Linked DNA regions of Stegostoma tigrinum. The protein of the gene in region 3 interacts with the protein of the main gene of each other region in a biochemical or structural test. Links are inferred from orthologs where the notes say so. Each region holds a gene or a part of one and is shown on either strand. Other genes may lie near its edges.

The links.
Region 1: the proteins of rb1 (region 3) and lin9 form a complex in vitro, tested with the Homo sapiens proteins (2 studies listed by BioGRID). The link is inferred for Stegostoma tigrinum from reciprocal best matches to the Homo sapiens genes RB1 and LIN9.
Region 2: of the proteins of rb1 (region 3) and ccnb1, one has a biochemical effect on the other in vitro, tested with the Homo sapiens proteins (2 studies listed by BioGRID). The link is inferred for Stegostoma tigrinum from reciprocal best matches to the Homo sapiens genes RB1 and CCNB1.

The regions. Positions count from the first base shown.
Region 1 is NC_081357.1:10,408,873-10,412,621, forward strand, and holds the start of lin9 (protein lin-9 homolog), read left to right. Parts: upstream 1-1,441; 5' UTR 1,442-1,477; coding exon 1,478-1,508; intron 1,509-3,749. UniProt on the Homo sapiens protein: Acts as a tumor suppressor. Inhibits DNA synthesis. Its ability to inhibit oncogenic transformation is mediated through its association with RB1. Plays a role in the expression of genes required for the G1/S transition.
Region 2 is NC_081356.1:109,641,703-109,645,451, reverse strand, and holds the start of ccnb1 (G2/mitotic-specific cyclin-B1), read left to right. Parts: upstream 1-1,262; 5' UTR 1,263-1,394; coding exon 1,395-1,415; intron 1,416-2,841; coding exon 2,842-2,979; intron 2,980-3,749. UniProt on the Homo sapiens protein: Essential for the control of the cell cycle at the G2/M (mitosis) transition.
Region 3 is NC_081365.1:72,797,714-72,801,462, forward strand, and holds the start of rb1 (retinoblastoma-associated protein), read right to left. Parts: upstream 2,158-3,749; 5' UTR 2,015-2,157; coding exon 1,950-2,014; intron 1-1,949. UniProt on the Homo sapiens protein: Tumor suppressor that is a key regulator of the G1/S transition of the cell cycle. The hypophosphorylated form binds transcription regulators of the E2F family, preventing transcription of E2F-responsive genes.

The DNA.
Region 1 (3,749 bases), on a different chromosome or scaffold from region 3:
ACACTGGAGGAGCCCAGGATGGGCGTGTTGTCCAGGGAGTGGGAGGGGTAGTTGAAGTGGTTCGCGACTGGGAGGTGTTGTTTGTCGCAAACCGAATGTAGGTGCTCCACAAAGCGGTCTCTGAGCCTCTCTTGGTGTCCCTGACGTAGGGGAGGCCACAGCAGATACAACATACCATATTAACAGATGTGCAGGTAAACATCTATTTAATGTGGAAGGTTAAACTCTGTGTTTTCCTGGCTATCATTTGTTCATTAACTCAGGACAGGTGGATAAGGCTGAGAGGGCATGTGTGATATTTACCTCTGTTAGTCAAGGTATTGGAAGAGGAGAGCAAGGGAGGTTATATTGAAGCTGTATATTGTGTTAGTTAGGCCACAGCTGAAATACAGCATGCAGCTCTGGTCACTAAACTATAGGAAGGACGTGACTGCACCAGAGGGGCTGCACAGGAGATTCACCAGGATGTTCCCTGAGTTAGAATTCAGCTGTGAAGAGAGAATAAATAAGCTAGGGTTGTGACAATGTATTCAAAACAGAAATTGCTGGAAAAGCTCAGCAGGTACTTGTTTTTTTGCAGGTTTTGGGGCAACACAGTCATTAACATTGCAGCCTTACAGCACCAAGGGCCTGGGTTCAATTCCACCTGTTTGTGTGGAGTTTGCATCGTTCTCCCTGTGTCTGTGTGGGTTTCCTCCCACAGTTCAAAGATGTGCGCGGGTTTAGGTGGAACTGGCCATGGGAAATTGCCATGCTGTGGTGTTCAGGTTAGGTGGATGCTAGTGTGGACTTGTTGAGCCAAAGGGCTTGTTTGCACACTTGTAGGGATTCTACTTGAAACATAACCAAGCCAGTTAACAAAGTGTGGAGCTGGATGAACACAGCAGGCCAAGCAGCATCTCAGGAGCACAAAAAGCTGACGTTTCGGGCCTAGACCCTTCATCAGAGAGGGTTATGCCCTGAGGGAGGAGGGTAACTTCTTCAGGTTAGGCATCCCTGGAAGAGGCTTCGCAGTGAGTTTGGCCCGCTGTGTTCATCCAGCTTCACACTTTGTTATCTTGGATTCTCCAGTTCCCATTACCTCTGGCAACCAAGCAAGTGCCTCCTCCTGGATTCACTTCGATCATTCCTCCAACCCCAGAATATCCTGCTCAAGGTGACCCACGTACTCCATACAGTCGGTGAGGCTAACTTTTATAGAGACCCCCCCCCCCCCCCCCCATATAACTAATCACCGCCCTACTGCAAGACGTTGATGAAGTAGGAGGAGGGGGTGGGGGGGCGCTGGGACTCGAACCCACGCCTTCGCTCTCCTCGCCAGCCCGCTCCCAGCTTGCCGACCCAGGGGGCGATCCCGCGACGCCACACGCGCCCCGGCGGCTCTGCCGGCGCCTCTTCGCGAAGGTTTGTTTCTGCCGCCCTGCATCGCCCAGAATGCCGCGCGGCTCGCTTTGAAAAGCGGCGCGGCCGATTCAAGATGGCGGAGGTGGAGGAGCTGCCGGATGAGAGTGAGTCCGGGGCGGGGGTGGGGGAAGGAAGGAAATCCGGGAGGGGGAGGGAGACAGACTCCCCGAGGGGTCGGGACGCCCTGACAGCCAGCAGCCTCCTCGTCCAACGACCCCCCCCCCCTTCTCCTCCCCTCCATCCAGCCCACCTCCGGGAGCCCAGGTCGTGTCCCTGCCCGGCGGGTGGGGGAACGCGGAGTCTGCCTGATGAGGGCCGAGGATCCGACACTGACTGACAGGCCGGGGCCGGAGCTCGGGGCCCGGGCACCGGCGGATCCCGGGTCCGCACGGGGCGGCCTCCTCCGCCGCAGACTGCCGGGACAGGGTGCTTGGGGCGTGGGGCGGATCCGGATCACCTCACCCCACCCCCACCCCCACCCCTACCTGGAGCTGCCTGTGGATGTGGGCGGCTGTCACACTCGGACTGTTTCCCCCCCCCGTTACCTGGGGCTATCCGCCCAGGACAGGCCCTCCTCCTCCTCTGACTCTGAGTGAGGGGCTGAGTGGGGAGACGGATTCCCGGCTAGAAAAGATAAATCACAGCTGGAGAGGGGTGTGTGTCTGTGTCGCGGGGGTAGCTGTGGTGGCTGTCCGCTTTAACGCGATTCCCACTGTTCGAGGGAAAGTTGTGATACTGTTTATTTAAATTTGAAACTGGATGTAGATGCTGTGGGGTTTTTTTTGTTTGATGTGTTTTTTTTTGTATGTAATGGATTTGAAGGCCGCCTGACAAATGTGACTCTATGCTGTGATCCGTTCTGTTTTGCGAGAAGACTTGAGGTTGCAGTGTGTTTGCATCAAAGACGTTGTTGGGGGCGGGCCCCCCCTGTTTTGTCTTGGTCATTGGAGGTTTCCTGGATAGTGCTGAAAAAGTGGCGGGGTGGGTATGAGTGCTCGAAGTATATGTGAGGGGCTGAATAGCCTAAGCCTGTTGCTGTAAAAGATGTGGGATACTGTGTAGCGTATTCGATGCACTTCTGGCTGGCTCATCATCCAAAAGTCTGTAAGCAATGATTCTGATGAGATCCTGTTCCTGGGTCATCTTTACTGACCTAAACTGGCTCCAAATTACATTTCTGGAATTCTCGCTCCATGTTTGCAGATCTACTCGATGGTCTCAACCCTTAGTATCTTTGTAATTGCTTTCAGCCTCTCAATCCTCTGTAATCTGTACTCTAATTTTGGCCTTATTAGTTCTTTCCATATTCCTTCATTCTCAGGCCCTACATTCTGCAATTTCCTCACCACAAACTTCGCTTTACTCCTTTAAAACACTTCTGAGAAAAAAAACTACTTGGATCAAGCTTTTGATCACCTGCCCCAAGATTGCCTTGGTTTGGTATTAGATTTTGTTGCTTCACTCCTGCGCAACAGCTTGCAATGTTTTACAATGTTTACAGCACTCTATAGGTACAAGTTGCTGCTGAAGGTTTTTAATCTGTGGTCTGACACTGTCTTGTTTGGAGAAGTGGAGGACATAAAGTATCTTTAGAGGTTATCAAACTTCTTTATTTGCTGTTTGTTCCCTTGTGGCAAGTGCCTTAGCCATTTTTCATGTTCAAAGTGTGTAAATTTTGATGCATTTTCCAGTTGATTATTTCTGCAAGTGTGAAACAAGACTTATGTTGCTGAGTTTGGATTGAGGTCCATGTGAATATTTTTTAATGGGAGTGATGGGTTACAGGTTCATCTACTCAGTGTAGAGGAGCAGAATAGTTTTTAGTGAGAGGGGATGTTTACAGTTTATCATTTTAGATAAATTTTGCCATTAAAAACTTGCTTACTGAATGTTTTTGATCGCTGCTTTACCTATGACAGTTTTGTGAACTGTGCAAGTGCTTGCAACTCTTAACAGATTGCTTCTTCAGAATGTTTCAGCATGGTAGTGTATTTGTGAATTACCATTGTATCCCTAAAACATAGTCATAGATTTCAAGGAACTGGATGGTAGTCAGGCTTTTCCTCAAGTCAGACTTTTGACAAAACTGCGCTACTGCTTGGAAAGGAATTGCTACATCTTTGAAGAAGGAGAAATTTGAAGGGCTCTGGGGAAGACTTGGGGAGTACTGTTTATTGGCTAGCTCCTTTGAACTGATATAAGCAGGATGACCAGGATGTTGTTCTGTGCTGTATTGTGACTCTTCATTCCCTTCCCCGATTATACCTTCTGACCAGAAGAAGGAAACTATTATGGTGAGTTTCCATTTTAACCTAGGACTTCCCTAGTTTGTGGCCTAGGATCTG
Region 2 (3,749 bases), on a different chromosome or scaffold from region 3:
GGGTACTTGAAGACATGCATGCTATATTCAGCACAAAATTCAGGGTGACATGGTGGCATGATGGTTAGCACTGCTGCCTCACAAGTGCCTGAGACCCAGGTTCAATTCCAGCCTGGGTGACTGTCTGTCTGGAGTTGGATGGTTCTCCCTGTGTCTGTGTGGGTTTCCTCCGGATGCTTTGGTTTCCTCCCACAGTCCAAAGGTGTGCAGGTTCGGTGAATTGGCCATGCTAAATTGCCTGTAGTGTCCAGGAATGCCTAGGTTAGGTGGATTAGCCAATGAAAATGCAGGATTACAGGGTTAGGGTAGTAGGTTATCTCTGGGTGGGATGCTCTTTGGAGAGTTGCTGTGGACTTGTTGGGCTGAATGTCCCGTTTCCACACGTTAGGAATTCTATCGAAAATAAATTGCAGCCTCCGTCTCTTGCAACGGCTGCATAGGTTCGGTTGCTTGTGCTGTTACTAGTGCTATCAATGAATTTGAGTCTGAGTAGCAATTAAATAGAGAGGACTTAGTAGACTTGAAAATGCCGACATTTGAGCAATGATGATGACCGGGACTAAAAACAACAAATGCTGGAGATCACAGCGGGTCAAGACAGCATCCGTGGAAAAAAAGCAACCTAACGTCGAGTTCATAGCACCTGCAGTAATTTGCTCCTATAACTACCGGGACTCTGAGATGCTTATTGAAAATCTGGGGACGTTCTGACAAAACTTGGAGTTCTGGTTACCTCAGGCATATTTAAACATGTATTGCAGAGAATTTATGCTAATTGAGTTGTAGCAGATAGTCGGGGAACAGTACAAAACTGTTAATCAAACGTTTCCTGAAAGTTCTAACAATTAGCTTAATTTCGGTTTGCCAGATTCGTTTTCTTGCAGTGATTTAAGGTTGAAATGTTTGCAGCTAATCACACAGTCCACCTCTTCACTGCAAAAGCCCTTCAGTGTATTGACTGATCGAGAGCCGTTGGGTGGGCTGGGCTGCACTGTTTAAATGGCACAGTCCTTCCCCTCCATCCGTCTCCTCGTACGATTGGTGGCATCCAAATGGACCAATCATAGCGACTCAAAGTTCGCCTCTATGTAGGGAGGAAAAAAGGAGAGAAACGATAACATTCACACAAACGGGCAATAAATGTGTCCGGTGCCCAGCAGCAGCTGCCTCCAGCTGATCGCTACATTTCCAATGATGCGGGGGTAAACCGATACAAACCGCTGACGTCAGGCAAACCCGTCGCCAGGGCAACGCATTCTAGTGGAGCGGGCTGCGCCAATCAGAGTGGGCGGAATGTGGAACGGCAGCGAATGAGCGTGCAGCGGCGGGGAGTTTAAACCTGAAGCCGGCTGGTGTTGGACTGCAGTCCGTGGCGAGTGCTCAGGCGGTTAGCAATGGCTCTTCGGATGGTTAAGGTAGCGTTTGTTATTGGCTTTTTTTAAAAGAAAAATCAACCAAACCACCTCCTCGTTTCCACCACCGTAATTACTCACTCTAAGGCGATATTTTCCAGCAGGACCAACCGGGAGTTTAACGGAATTGGTTCGCTTGTAAACTAGGCTTTTTTAAAAAAAAATGTTGGTAATGAAATTTGGAGTAAAAATAAATAGTGTTTTTTAACTTAAAAAATTCTGTTTTCATTTTCCTAGTGGAAGCGAATCCTGTAACCATGCTTAACACTGTTATGGTAGGCTTTTTAAAGTGGAAGTATTGTGTGTGGCAACTTCACTTCAGACCTGATTCTGTTAACCCGCATAACAGACCGAAGCTAAAACCAAAGACTGCTATAAGCGTTTGGTTATGTTTTAATGTCTGGGCCGAAGTAGGTGTGCAATTGTTTTGGTTTAACTCTTCTCTTGTGTAGCGGGTGAACTTAGCGATAACTTTTGGCTGGGTTGCTGCTGGGCGTGTAGGGAAGAGCGGTGGAGCTCTGCAATGACGTTCAGTGGGATTTTCCGAAGCTTCCTAAGGAAAGTCAACTTTCTGCGACTGGCATAAGTGGCTGGACCCACAGGCGGGTCCACATTCGTATAATGCTACATTCTGTAGATAAGCGATAGCCTCATGTTTCAACGCAGGGATGGAGGGGGAAAAAAATAACAGCACTTTTATTTTTTAAGGCGGGGCTCCCAGATCATGTGCTTTTGCAACGTTGCAAAGTCCTACGGGAAGGCGCCATTCAGAATCTGGCTCCAATCTCAATTTGTCATAAACCAGTCAAATACGCCCCCTCTCTATTTATTTCAGAACCCCATTCCCCTCCTCTCTTCTTCCCCCCCCCCCCCCCCCCCCCGCCATTTCTGAAGAAAGGTCTAGGCCCGAAACTTCAGCCTTCCTGCTGCTTGGCCTGCAGTGTTCATCCAGCTTTAACACCTTGTTATCTCACTTAATGTTGGGTATGGGGGGCTGGGGGGAACCCCTCTGCTGTACGTGGCTGGAGTGGTACTTCATATTTATGTAAACGCTCATTGTGTAACCGATTCCTCTAAACCCATGGTTCAGAACAGCTGTTAATTCTTTGGCTTTAACTGGGATTAGTGTTGGAGCCAGACATGTGAATTTTCCTTAACAATTGCTAGCCTTGGTTAATGACTTTACTTCCTCTTGCCAAGTTCATGATGGCTACCCTGTCTTACAAATCTATAAAGCAATCTGATATTATGTGAGTAAGAATGGATGGGGAGAAAATTGGCCAACTGCTCTACTGCAACAGATTAGGAAAGTGGAATGGAACAACAATATTCTTATGAACAAATACCTCCTGTGCTATTGCAGTACTGCAGCTGTGCCCAGTTGTTTTTGTTCATTCAGTATTAACATCCTAACGAACTACTTTGACAGACTAATCATGTTGGTAAAGACAACATTGAACCAAAAGTCCTTCCAGGAAAAATTGGAACAAAGCTTGGCTTGAGACCTAGAACTGCTTTGGTGGACATAGGCAACAAGACACTGGGAACTAAACTCCCAGTGAAAAAGGTATGTTGTGCATTGCTAGATAACCTGTACCCTTAATGGATTTAAATTCCTAGCAGCTGTATTTGGTTTTTTTTGTCCCTATTGTGGCAAATGTCTTGACTGACTAACTTGCAGAATGCTTCTCCAGTATAAAGTGCAACCTGGAGTTTGCCTGTTTTTAATTCATCTAGTGCTGGCACTCCTCTTCTGTCCTTGGTCAACTTGAACACTTCAATGTAGCTCAACACTAAACCACCCCTTTTCATTAAATAGATTTTTGTTACTTTCTGAACTCACTACAACTTCATAGCACTAACTGATCCCATGGTTTTTTGACCATATCACTGAATTTTTTTAAACCAGTTCTAACAAGGGGGCACCCCTGCCAACCTCTGGATCCAACACATCAATCTCCAACACTTCTGCCATCTGCAATTTTCCCCTCAACCTTGCCTGCTGTACAGAGGGACCACTGTCTCTGTGACTTCCTCATCTGCTCGTCACACTCCTCCAGCCCTGCTACACCTGCCCCTCTATCTTCCCTCCTCCCAGGCCCTAAGACTGCCTGCATCAAACAGATGTTCACCTGTGCATCTGCCAATGTGGCATACTGCATCCACTGTACCCATTGTGGCCACCTCTACATCAGGGAAACCAAGCAGAGGCTTGGGGACTGCTTAGCAGAATACTACACTCGGGTTGCACTAAACAACAGAACCTCCCAATCGTGAGCCATCTTGACGCTCCCTCCCATTCCTCAGATGTGTCCATCCTAGGCCTTCTGCAGTGCC
Region 3 (3,749 bases):
ACCCTTCTTCAGAAATGGGGGAGGGGAAGGGGGCTGTGCAATAAATAGGGAGAGAGGAGGAGGTGGCTAGAAGATGGATACAGGAGAACATAGGTGGAGAGGAGACCGACAGGTCAAAGAGGTGGGGATGGAGCCTGTAAAGGGGAGCATAGGTAGGGAGGAGATAGGTCAGACCAAGGAGCACGGACAGACAGGTCAGGGGGTGGCGGGATAAAGTTATGAGGTAGGAGATGGGGGTGGGGCTTGAGGTGGGAGGAGGGGATATGTGGGAGGAAAGACAGGTTAGGGAGGTGGGTACAAGTTGGGCTGGTTTTGAGATGTGGTATGGGGAAGGGAGATTTTGGAGCTTGTGAAGTCCATATTGATACCATTGGGCTGCAGGGTTCCCAAGCAGAATATGAGTTGCTGTTCCTGCAACTTTCAGATAGCATCGTTGTGACACTGCAGGAGGCCCAGGGTGGACATGTCATCTATGGAATGGGACAGGGAGTTGAAAATGGTTCATGACTGGGAGGTGCAGTTGCTTAGTGTGAACCGAGCATAGGTGTGCTGCAAAGCGGTCCCCAAGCCTCCGCGTGGTTTCTTCAAAATCTCTCCGCCGTCCTCCCCACGCTCCACCACCACCACCACATCTCAAAACCAGCCTGTCCTTCCTCCCACCTCAAGCCCCACCTCCATCTCCTCCCAACTAACATACACTTTTACTGGCACCATCCCCACCTCTTTGACTGGTCTGTCTCCTCTCCACCTATCTTCTCCTCTATACATTTTCTATCTACCTCCCCTTCTCTTCCTATTTATTTCAGAACCCTCTTCCCACCACCCCCCACCCAATTTCTGAAGAGGGGTCTAGGCCCGAAACATCAACCTTCCTGCTCCTATGATGCTGCATGGCCTGCTATGTTCATCCCGCTCTACACCTGGTTATCTCAGATTCTCCAGCATCTGTAGTTCCTACTATCTGAAACATTATTTTCTTGTCTGTACTTGGCACTTGTCCCCTTTTAAAATGTAAAATCTGTAAGAATACAATGTGTTTTATTGATTTTTCGTCAGACTTAGCAAGTTGCAAAATTCCTTTTTCTTTCACTCACTCAAGAAAACCTTGGAATTAGCTCCTTAATGCTGAACTACCAAACTATGTTTTAAGTGTGAAAGAGTAGTGTGCTAAAACAGAAAGGGAGCCAGTTCAGCCTTTCTCACCTCGTCAACATTTTATCACACTGCTGTTGAAGGGAGTTGCCTGTGAGGAATTGACTGTCAGAAACCCTTCACTATCTTACGGTTCAAAAGAAATTCATCAGGGTATTGCGCTGTCGAGAAAGGCTCTGTATAAATCGAAGTCCTCTTTCCCCTAAAGTAAATTGTGAATTAAAAGGCTGTTGCCAAGGAATGATGCATTATACTATATTCCAGCTACTACCGATTACCCTATATTTGAAGGGTCGTCTGCTAGCTTCTCTGGGTAATGACTATCGTCAAAAACACTACATGTGATAAATACGGTGTTTTGGAAGATTACCCTAATGCTACCTACGGAGGATTATGCCCTTTTTTAACTGCCACAACAGTAGAAATTGGACATTTAGCACAGAGTCGGTCTCACAGAATTAGCACTGAGTCAGCAGTGGGGTTCTGCACCAGGTTACTGCGGTGCTGCGATCCGACTTAAAAGTTCCCGGGGATTTTGCACAATGAAGGAAAAGGCTAGTAGCCAGGTAAAGGGCCACAAAACTGAAGCACAGGGCAACGACAAGTGCAGCGAAAAAGAGAGACAGAAAGATGTCGCGTGGGGGCGGGGATTAGCTGCTCTCGAGAGCCACTTTACAGGTAACCACCCAAGTATTCCCCACACCTCTTGCACCCTCCCAGTGCCCAGGCCGCGGCTGGCTGAGGTGGGAGCTCGGCCGACGAAAGCAACAGCTGCTGCCCTGTTACCCCGTCCTTACCTGGCCGGAGAGATGCTCTCCTCGGAGCCACCAGCGGCCGTTCTCCTCAGCGACTTGGGGGGCATGATGTGTGGACAATGGTGGGTGGGGCTCGGCGGCGGCAACCGTTCAGCTCGCGCTCGAGGCCACCGCTTTCGAATGTTTAAAAGGGTGCAAGATTCTAAACCGAATAGACGCCACCACAGCCCAGAGACCGCGCCAAACTCACGCCGCTTCCGACTTGTGCGTCACTTCCTTAGCAGCGCCGCCAGCCCAGCCACAATGAGTCTGATTCTGGCAGCGGTGAGTCACGTCTTCGCTACATCCATAGTAAACGGTCTAGCTCCGTTATACTTCCAAATGCTCACCGTTCTAATCCCCAGGCGATGGCGTTTACTCCGTTCGACAAAGACGATTTGGAAAAAGGAAACGAAAGAATACGGATGCTGTAAATCAGGAACAAAAAAAACAGAAGTTTCTGGAAAAGTTCAGCAGGTCTTGGAGTTGAAAAAGATATTCAGATGATTTTGAGAATTCTCGAGGCTGAGCGGTTTGAAACGGTCAACCCTTTGTTAGGAAGCAGAGGTCGAACCCCTCTTATTTAAAATCGAAACACAAGCCTGCAAATCTGTTAAGGCAGGAGTCGAGGTTCCTTTCGAATAATTAAACTGGAAACATTCCGAGAAGCTCGCCTCACCTCACCTAAAAGGGAGTAAACTTAGAGAAGGGGCAGCTAAATGAAAGAAAAACCATGATATTTGTTTTATAAGTAATAATTTATTTACTTAACCCTAACAGTGAACAAACTAACAGAATTACAACCAAACTGCACAATTCCCCTTCACTACTATTCCCTAACTGAACTGAATTCTACTGCTATGCTGTTCCAAAAATCACAAGTCCCACTTATATAAACCCAAGTAATAAGAAAATAATTTAAAATTTACTCTGTCAAAGTCTAAGTATCTTTCTTCTGTCGTTCTCCAGTCGTAAATGTCTTTCTTCCGCTGATCTGGCTGTCAGGGATGTTTTTCTGTGAGAGCTCTTAGTTGGAAATGCTGTAGTACCTTTTTTATGGATAAATGGTGCTTACGTTGAGAACTTAGTGATTTCTTGTGAGAGCTAAACGCTTATTTCTCAAATGGCAGTTCACTCACTTTTTTAAATATCCTTTTCTTATATACCTTTTGTTGAAGTATCAATTTTTCTTCAAATAGCATTGGTCTCAGATTGTCCAAACCATCAGATTTAAATTCAACTTTCTTTCAATCGCTAAGTGCTTGGTTTAAATTAGTTAACTGATTCCAGCTATTTGCCAAAACATCAAAACCAGTCTAAGGTTTCCAATCACACAGCCAATAGATATGTTTCAATTTCAGAACTGTCTGCACCATCTTCAGCTACTGACATGTTCTGTATAAATCTCAAAGCTTAGAAAAGCACTTTACCTCTTAAAAGGAGCCACATACTCCTTTCCCCATCATTTTTACAAACAAATTCTAGCTTCCTGTCTTTTGATTCATGATTACTCTACACAACTTCATAACATCCTACTGATGAAGAGTCATCTAGACTCAAAACGTTAGCTTATGCTGTCTGACCCACTGTGATCTCTAGCATTTATTGTTTTCAGTACAGGTTCCAGCATCTGCAGTAATTTGTCTCAACTGATTCATGTCAATTTCATTAAAGTCTTTCCAAGTGATGGTGAGGATTCTCTAAGACCAGTTCTCACTTTCCAGCTCACCAGCCTCCACACCCAAAGTACCATAAGCTGCCATTTTTACCACCTCCAGAAGCATAGTCCCATCCTCTGTTCTC